Macaca fascicularis: one gene and its partner. The protein of the gene in region 2 binds, or shares a complex with, the protein of the main gene of each other region. Links are inferred from orthologs where the notes say so. Each region holds a gene or a part of one and is shown on either strand. Other genes may lie near its edges.

Region 1 (3,764 bases), on a different chromosome or scaffold from region 2:
AAATTAGCCCGGTGTGGTGGCACATGCCTGTAATCCCAGCTACTTGGGAGGCTGAGGCAAGAGAATCAATTGAACCTGGGAGGCGGAGGTTGCAATGAGCAGAGAGCTCACCATTGCACTCCATCTAGCCTGGGTAACAAGAGCAAGACTCCATCTCAAAAAAAAGAGAAAAAAAAATTAGCCACGCGTGGTGGAGGGCGCCTATAATCCCAGCTACTCAGGAGGCTGAGGCAGGAGAATCGCTTGAACCCAGGAGGCAGAGGTTGCAGTGAGCCGAGATTGCACCATTGCACTCCAGCCTGGATGACAGAGTGAGAACTCCGTCTCAAAAAAAAGAAACAAAACAAAACAAAACAAAGATGGAGTCTCACTCTGTTACCCAGGATGGACTGGAACTTCTGGGGTTAAGCAATCCTCCAGACTCAGCCTCCCAGAGTACTGGGATTACAGGCATACACCACCATGCCCAGACCATATTTCCTTTCCACTGGGTGGTGCCCACACACACAGAGATACACAAAGACAAACATGCCCTGTTAGTGCTCAGTAGTCATTTGAATAAATTTTCACAATGCACTCGACTTATCTCAGCATAAACTTTATTGGTTTGGCTTCTCTTGGCTATTCTGGAGTGGGGCTGAGGCAGGAGCTAAGTGAAGGGCAGAATCCAGTCCTGAGCTGGGTGTGGTCAGAGTCACCGAGACCTGGGGAGAGTGGGGAAAGGAGAGGAAGGTTATGGACTTGGAGTCGGCCAAGCACGTTTATCCTGGGACCCAGCCATTGTTGAACCCCTCCTACCTTCAAATCACCTTTTTAAGTATCTTAATTTTTATCAATTTACCTTTTTTTTATTTTTTTTGAGACGGAGCCTCGCTGTCCCCCAGGCTGGAGTGCAGTGGCGCAATCTCGGCTCACTGCAAGCTCTGCCCCCTGGGTTCATGCCATTCTCCTGCCTCAGCCTCCCGAGTAGCTGGGACTACAGGCTCCCACCTCCATGCCCGGCTAATTTTTTGTATTTTTAGTAGAGACGGGGTTTCACCAGGTTAGCCAGGATGGTCTTGATCTCCCGACCTCGTGATCTGCCCACCTCGGCCTCCCAAAGTGCTGGGATTACAGGCATGAGCCACCGTGCTCAGCCTCATTTTACTTATTTTTTAAGAGACAGTCTCACTGTGGTGCCCAAGCTGGAGTGCGGTGACTATTTACGGATGTAATCATAGATTACTGCAGTCTTGAACTCCTGGCCTCAAGCAGTGCTCCCACCTTTGCCCCATCAAATCACCATTTTAATGATAAGTAATCCAAATAATTCACAAAAGTACAGAGACCGTTACCCACCTTCCTACAGAGATTTTCTCACACCCTCTTCATGGATCTGCTCACGCTCCTGTCCCTTCTTCCCCTCCTGAGGTTCCTGTTCCAGATTTGCTCCCTCAATGCCTCCCTAGCTGCTCAGTATCAGTGTCTGAAGTGTTCTGGTTTCCGTGCCCCGCTGTCTGCATCATGAGGATCCTGTCTCACCCTTTAGGAGGACAGGTCTCTTCATAATATTTAGTCCCTCGATTCTGAGACATAAGGAATGGACTGAAGAATTTTCTAGCTGATGAGGTGGATTCAAGAGACCATTGAAGCCACCAATGGCCACAGAGAAAGGAAACATGCCTCCAACTATGCAGTTTCCCATCACCAGGAAGGTACCATGGCCCAAGGGTACAGAGGGAAAGCTGAGAACAGGATGGGGCTCAGCTCGGTGGGTAGGATTGGGGACAGGCAGGGCACAGGATGGGCTCAGCTCGGTCAGTAGGGACAGGCAGGGCACAGGATGGGCTCAGCTCGGTTGGTAGGGACAGGCAGGGCACAGGATGGGCTCAGCTCAGTGGGTAGGAACAGGCAGGGCACAGGATGGGCTCAGCTCAGTGGGTAGGGATAGGCAGGGGAGAGCAGCACCTCACCTGGAAGAGTGAGGAAGAACAAATAGTAATCAGAGCTGCTAACCTTGCAGAGCTCTCATTACTCCTCAAAGGTGGCCCTCAGGTCTCCATTTGAATTGTCTTTATTTTTCTTTTGTTTTTTTCTTTGTATTTTTCCACTTGCATTGTCTTACTTAAAGCTCACAACATCCCATGAAATGATTCTATACCTCTGATTTTAATGAAAACACTGAGGTTCAGAAAGGCTACGTAATCAGCCAGCATGTGGAGGGGCAAAGATCTGAATCCATGTCTGATGCCCAAGCTCAATTTAGAACTGCTGTGCAACACCACATTCCCCTACCTGCACCTGCAGAGGTTTGTCTGATCCACCAAGCAGGCCAACAGCTCTTGAATCAGCAAGTCCCGCAGCAAATCTTCATCGCTGGGGTTCTTGGGTGGGGAGCTGCAAGGTAAGAGCCTCTGGCTGACTGTTTTAGCCTGAGCCGCGCCCAAAGAGAGTAAACACAGGACTGGGGACACCACTGAGGGGCAGCCACGGATTGGGGGAGGGAGCCAACACAGCTGCCTCTCTGTTGGCTCAGCTCTGAGATCTGGAGCCTGCTTTCTGCCAGCCCCACCCAGCACTGCCTGCCTGGGGAATATGGACTCTTCCTACAGGGAGAGTCAAACAGAATTCTGGTGTGAGATATTCCGCCCATCCACCTCTGCAAGTGTTCCAGCATGCAGAGAGTACTTTGGGCACATTCACTTTTTGAAATGACCTGTGCCATTCAGAGAGGGGATAACTGATTTCAGGGGAGTGGGCCTGGGAAGATCCCCCACTCTTTCACAAACAGCCTTCCCGAAGTTTGGCAGGGGGAGGTGGTGAGGCCGGAACCTGAGGTCTCTTCTTTCCTGCCCTTCTCCTGACTCAGTGACTCTGCTGTGTATCAAGTCATCAATCTTAGAAACCCTGTCCCTGAAACCCCTCCTAGCACCCCTCCCCTGTTCCTCCAAGCCTTCTTCCTTAAGCTTGGGCTGACCTCCAGGAGTTTGCTCAATGAAGACCCCTCTTTGAACTCTTGAGAGGAAGAGGATGATTATCGCGGGTCCTTGCTCTGCTCTGGGGTCAGGGAGAGGGAGCAACGAGGTGGGGGCAGGGCAGGAGGCTCGGCTGCCTCCCTTCCCTCTGCGCCCTGACTCACCTCTGTGGCTCCACTGCCTCCTCCTCCTTCCTATTAGCTTGACTGGCCAGCTCGAGTGCCCGAGCCTCCCTCTGGGTGATGTTGTGTTTCCAGCTGGGAAGATAAGATTAGAGAGTGGGCAAGCTGTGGAGACTCCAGGCTAGAGACACTTGAATCTTTTAGTACCTCAACCCCAAAAGCAGAGGGTACCTTTCTCCACTTAAGCCCACCCAATGGTGGTCTTCAGCTGCCTCCACCAGTGAACAGCTTTTCAGAATCTACCACGCTGACCAGAGACGGCATAGAGCAGGGAGAAGGATAAGGACAGTTCATCTTCTCTTCACTTTTGTGTGTGTGTGTGTGTGTGTGTGTGTGTGTGTGTGTGTGTGTGTGTGTGTGAGATAGGGTCTGGCTGTATTTCCCAGACTGGAGTGCAGGGGCACCATCTCGGCTCACTGCAACCTCTGCCTCCCAGGCTCAAGCCATCTTCCCGTCTCAGCCTCCTGAGTAGCTGAAACTACAGGCAGGCATTACCACACCACACCCAGCTAATTTTTGTACTTTTTGTTTGCCATGTTGCCCAGGCTGGTCTCGAATGAACTTGTGAGCTCAAACAATCCACCTACCTGGGCCTCCCAAAGTGCTGGGATTACAGGCGTGAGCCACG
Region 2 (3,810 bases):
CCGGACCTCGTGATCTGCCCGCCTCGGCCTCCCAAAGTGCTGGGATTACAGACGTGAGCCACTGTGCCTGGGTGTGTGCTATGGCTTTTTTTTTTTTTTTTTTTTTTTTTTTTTTTTTTTTTGAGACAGAGTTTCGCTCTTTTTGCCCAGGCTGGAGTGCAATGGCGCGATCTCGGCTCACCGCAACCTCTGCATCCCAGGTTCAAGCGATTCTGTTGCCTCAGCCTTCCAAGTAGCTGTGATTACAGGCATGTGCCACCACCTTGGCTAATTTTGTATTTTTAGTAGAGACAGGGTTTCTCCATGTTGGTCAGGTTGGTCTTGAACTCCCGACCTCAGGTGATCCACCTGCCTCGGCTCCCAAAGTGCTGGGATTACAGGCGTGAGCCACCGCGCCCGTCCACTATGGCTTCTTAACAATTGGTATGGTCCAACTTTTGACTAGATAGTTCTCACCACGTCTACTCCCAGCCTCTAGCCTCTCCCACCCTTTCTCCTAGTAACAAACTGGCACTTACCACATCCCAGTCCCCAGTTACTTTCTTGTATCCTGCCATGCCTCACCTCCAGCAGGTGGATTCTCTCATTGGTGAAAAAGTTCAATGATGGGTGAGATAATGAGGGAGAGGAATGGAAAATTCCAATATGGGAGTGATAGGCTGGGAGAGTTCAATGAGGCCGAGTTGGGAGGTTCCCTCTCCAAATGTGTCTTGATCCCCCACCCCAAGACACATTTGGAGAGGGACCCTCCCAGCTCAGATAAACTGTGAGAGTGTAGGAGATAGGAAATGCACTGAGAACTTCCTGGTCCCACCAGAGAAGCAAGATTCCCATTTGGAGGAATGGAAGGAGGATGCCCACCTGGTTCCACAGCACAAGGGCCTGGTCCCCAAGGTAGGGGCCAGGTCGAGGCAGTAGACGGTCCCGGCTGAGAATCGCCGCCGCTCGCAGTGTGAAAGACGTGAACAGGTTGATGTGGATATAGTTTCTAGTGCAATGTAGTCGCCTAGGGAATTTGGAAGGCAGTTTGGGGGCCCCTGGAGAGCTGCCCTCAGCCACACAGAGCTCTATTTTTTTTTTTTTTTTAAACAGGGTCTCACTCTGTCACCCAGGCTAGAATGCAGTGGCACAATCAGGGCTCACTGCAGCCTCAACCTCCCGAGCTCAAGCAATCCTCCTGTCTCAGCGCCCCACTATAGCTGGGACCACAGGTGCACCACCAGCATGCCTAGCTAATTTTTTATTTTTCGCAGAGACAAGGTTTCACTATGTTGCCCAGCCAGATTTCAAACTCCTGGACTCAAGCGATCCTCGTGCCTTGGCCTCCCAAAGAGCTGGGATTACAGGCATCAGCCACCAAAGAGAGCTCCTTTAACCACCCCCACTGCTCCCCATAGAACCACCAGTGGATGGTTGGAGCTGGTGGAACCAGACCACCCCATCTTACTGGACAAACTGAAGCCGAGCTCACATCTCTGCCGCCACCACTCAGGGTTCAAGTCCCACCTGAACAAGCTCAAGATGAGCAGGGCTAGCAGCAGTGTGGCGAGAGACAGGGAGTAGCCGACGGTGTACATGACCTGCAGCCGCTCCAAGATGAGCCTTTGGTCCTGGGGGGGCGAGAAGGGGAAGGGAACAAGGCTTGGCTCGAAGCCCCAGGCCCAGAGAGAGACTGGAAGGACCTCTGCTCTTTGTTTCTGCCCAAATACCCTATGTTCTCTTGGGGAACAGCTTACCCTTTTTTGAGAAGGGCCGACTCCACCCTTCAGCTCCAGGGCACGAGGCATGTGACCAGCCAACCAGATAATTTTTTTTTTTTTTTTTTTTTGAGATATAGTCTTGCTTTGTTGCCCTGGAGTACTCTGGCAGGATCATGGTTCCTTGCAGCCTCGCCCTCCAGGGCTCAAGCGATCCTCCCGCCCCAGACTCCAGAGTAGCTGGGACTACAGGTGCGCACCAACATGCCCAGCTAATTTTTGTATTTTTAATAGAGACGGGGTTTCACCATATTGGCCAGAATGGTCTCAATCTCTTGATCTCGTGATCCGCCCACCTCGGCCTCCCAAAGTGCTGGGATTACAGGCATGAGCCACTGCTCCTGGCCAAAGTTTTGTATTTTTTGTAGAGATGGAGTTTCACCATGTAACCCAGGCTGGTCTCAAAATCCTGCGCTCAAGCAATCATCTTCTCAAAGTGTTGGAATTACAGGCATGAGCCACTGAGCTCAGCCCAACTAGAGCATTCTTTTATTTAGTTATTTATTTTTTTGAGATGGAGTCTCACTCTGTCACCCAGGTTGGAGTACAGTGGCACGATCTTGGCTCACTGCAACCTCTGCCTCCTGGGTTCCAGCAATTCTCATGTCTCAGCCCCCTGAGTAGCTGGGACTACAGGTGCACACAACCACGCCCGGCTAATTTTTGTATTTTTAGTAGACACGGGGTTTTGCCATGTTGGCTAGGCTGGTCGCAAACTCCTGACCTCAAGTGATCCACCCTCCTTGGCCTCCCAAAGTGCTGGGATTACAGGCATGAGCCACAGCACCCAGCCATCTTATTGTTTTCCATCACATAAGCCAATACATCTTTCTGTCTCGCTCTTTGAAGCAAGTCTGAGTTGAGTTTCTCTCACTTACAACCCAGAGCTCTGAATAGTCCAAGGGATTTCAGGCCCTGCCTGAATCTACTGCCTTTCCTTCTCTCCCTGGACTCCTAACCTGAAGCCCTCACCTCTTCTTACCAGAAAGGCCTCATTCTTCTCTGGGTTCTCACATTGTGTGTGGTCTCTCCAAAGTCCCCATTGGCCATCACTGCCACACTGGCGGAGGACAAAACCTGCAGCCACTGTGGGGAAAGAAGAGAGGGAATTAAGGCACACAGAGAAAGAGATAAATACAGAAAGACAAACTGTGAGACAATAACAGAGAGGGAGAGAGCAGAAGTGGTGACCATGATGATGATGATGATAAACCCTTATATGGCATGCTATATGTATTAATTTAATATTCATACAAGCCCATGGAATTGGTAATATCCTTAACCTAGTTTTACATATGGGAAAATTGAGATACAAAAAGTTAAGGCTGGGCACGGTGGCTCACGCCTGTAATCCCAGCACTTTGGGAGTCTGCGATGGGCAGATCAGGAGGTCAAGAGATCGAGACCATCCTGGCCAACATGGTGGAACCCTGTCTCTACTAAAAATACAAAAATTAGCTGGGCATAGTAGCACCCGCCTGTAGTCCCAGCTACTTGGGAGGCTGAGGCAGGAGATTGGTTGAACCTGGGAGGTGAGGTTACAGTGAGCCGAGATCACGCCACTGCATTCCAGCCTTGCAACAAAGCCAGACTCCGTCTCAACAACAACAACAAAACAACAAAAACAACAAAAGTTAAATAGGCCTGTAATCCCAGCGCTTTGGGAGACTGAGGTGAGAGGATCCCTTGAGGCCAGGAGTTTAAGATCAGCCTGGGTAACATGGCAAGACTCTGTCACTGCCAAAAAAAAAAATTAGCTGGATGTGTTAGCATGCGCCTCTAGTCCCTGCTATTTGGGAGGCTGAGGCGGAAAGATCGCTTGAACCCAGGAGTTCCGAGGCTGCAGTGAACTATGATGCCGCCACCACATGGGTGACAGACCCAGACTCTGTCTCAAAAAGGAAAAAAGTAGGGGCCGGGCACGGTGGCTCACGCCTGTAATCCCAGCACTTTGGGAGGCTGAGGTGGGCAGATCACGAGGTCAGGAGATCGAGACCACGGTGAAACCCCGTCTCTACTAAAAAAATACTAAAAATTATCCGGGCATGGTGGT

What was found.
Region 1: the proteins of GIPR (region 2) and GIP are in contact, whole or in part, in a cryo-EM structure (PDB 7RA3), measured with the Homo sapiens proteins. The link is inferred for Macaca fascicularis from reciprocal best matches to the Homo sapiens genes GIPR and GIP. Residues at the interface, in NP_000155.1 of Homo sapiens: Gln30, Thr31, Ala32, Leu35, Tyr36, Trp39, Tyr68, Trp71, Leu88, Trp90, Arg101, Arg113, His115, Asn120, Gln130, Arg131, Leu134, Glu135, Leu137, Gln138, Tyr141, Tyr145, Arg183, Ile187, Arg190, Asp191, Pro197, Gly198, Pro199, Tyr200; in NP_004114.1 of Homo sapiens: Tyr52, Ala53, Glu54, Gly55, Thr56, Phe57, Ile58, Ser59, Asp60, Tyr61, Ser62, Ile63, Ala64, Met65, Asp66, Lys67, Ile68, His69, Gln70, Gln71, Phe73, Val74, Trp76, Leu77, Leu78, Lys81.

What each region holds. Positions count from the first base shown.
Region 1 is NC_088390.1:57,758,676-57,762,439, reverse strand, and holds the end of GIP (gastric inhibitory polypeptide), read right to left. Parts: intron 3,212-3,764; coding exon 3,119-3,211; intron 2,377-3,118; coding exon 2,275-2,376; intron 705-2,274; coding exon 695-704; 3' UTR 583-694; downstream 1-582. UniProt on the Homo sapiens protein: Potent stimulator of insulin secretion and relatively poor inhibitor of gastric acid secretion.
Region 2 is NC_088393.1:53,738,211-53,742,020, reverse strand, and holds part of GIPR (gastric inhibitory polypeptide receptor), read right to left. Parts: intron 2,844-3,810; coding exon 2,740-2,843; intron 1,611-2,739; coding exon 1,507-1,610; intron 1,007-1,506; coding exon 862-1,006; intron 1-861. UniProt on the Homo sapiens protein: This is a receptor for GIP. The activity of this receptor is mediated by G proteins which activate adenylyl cyclase.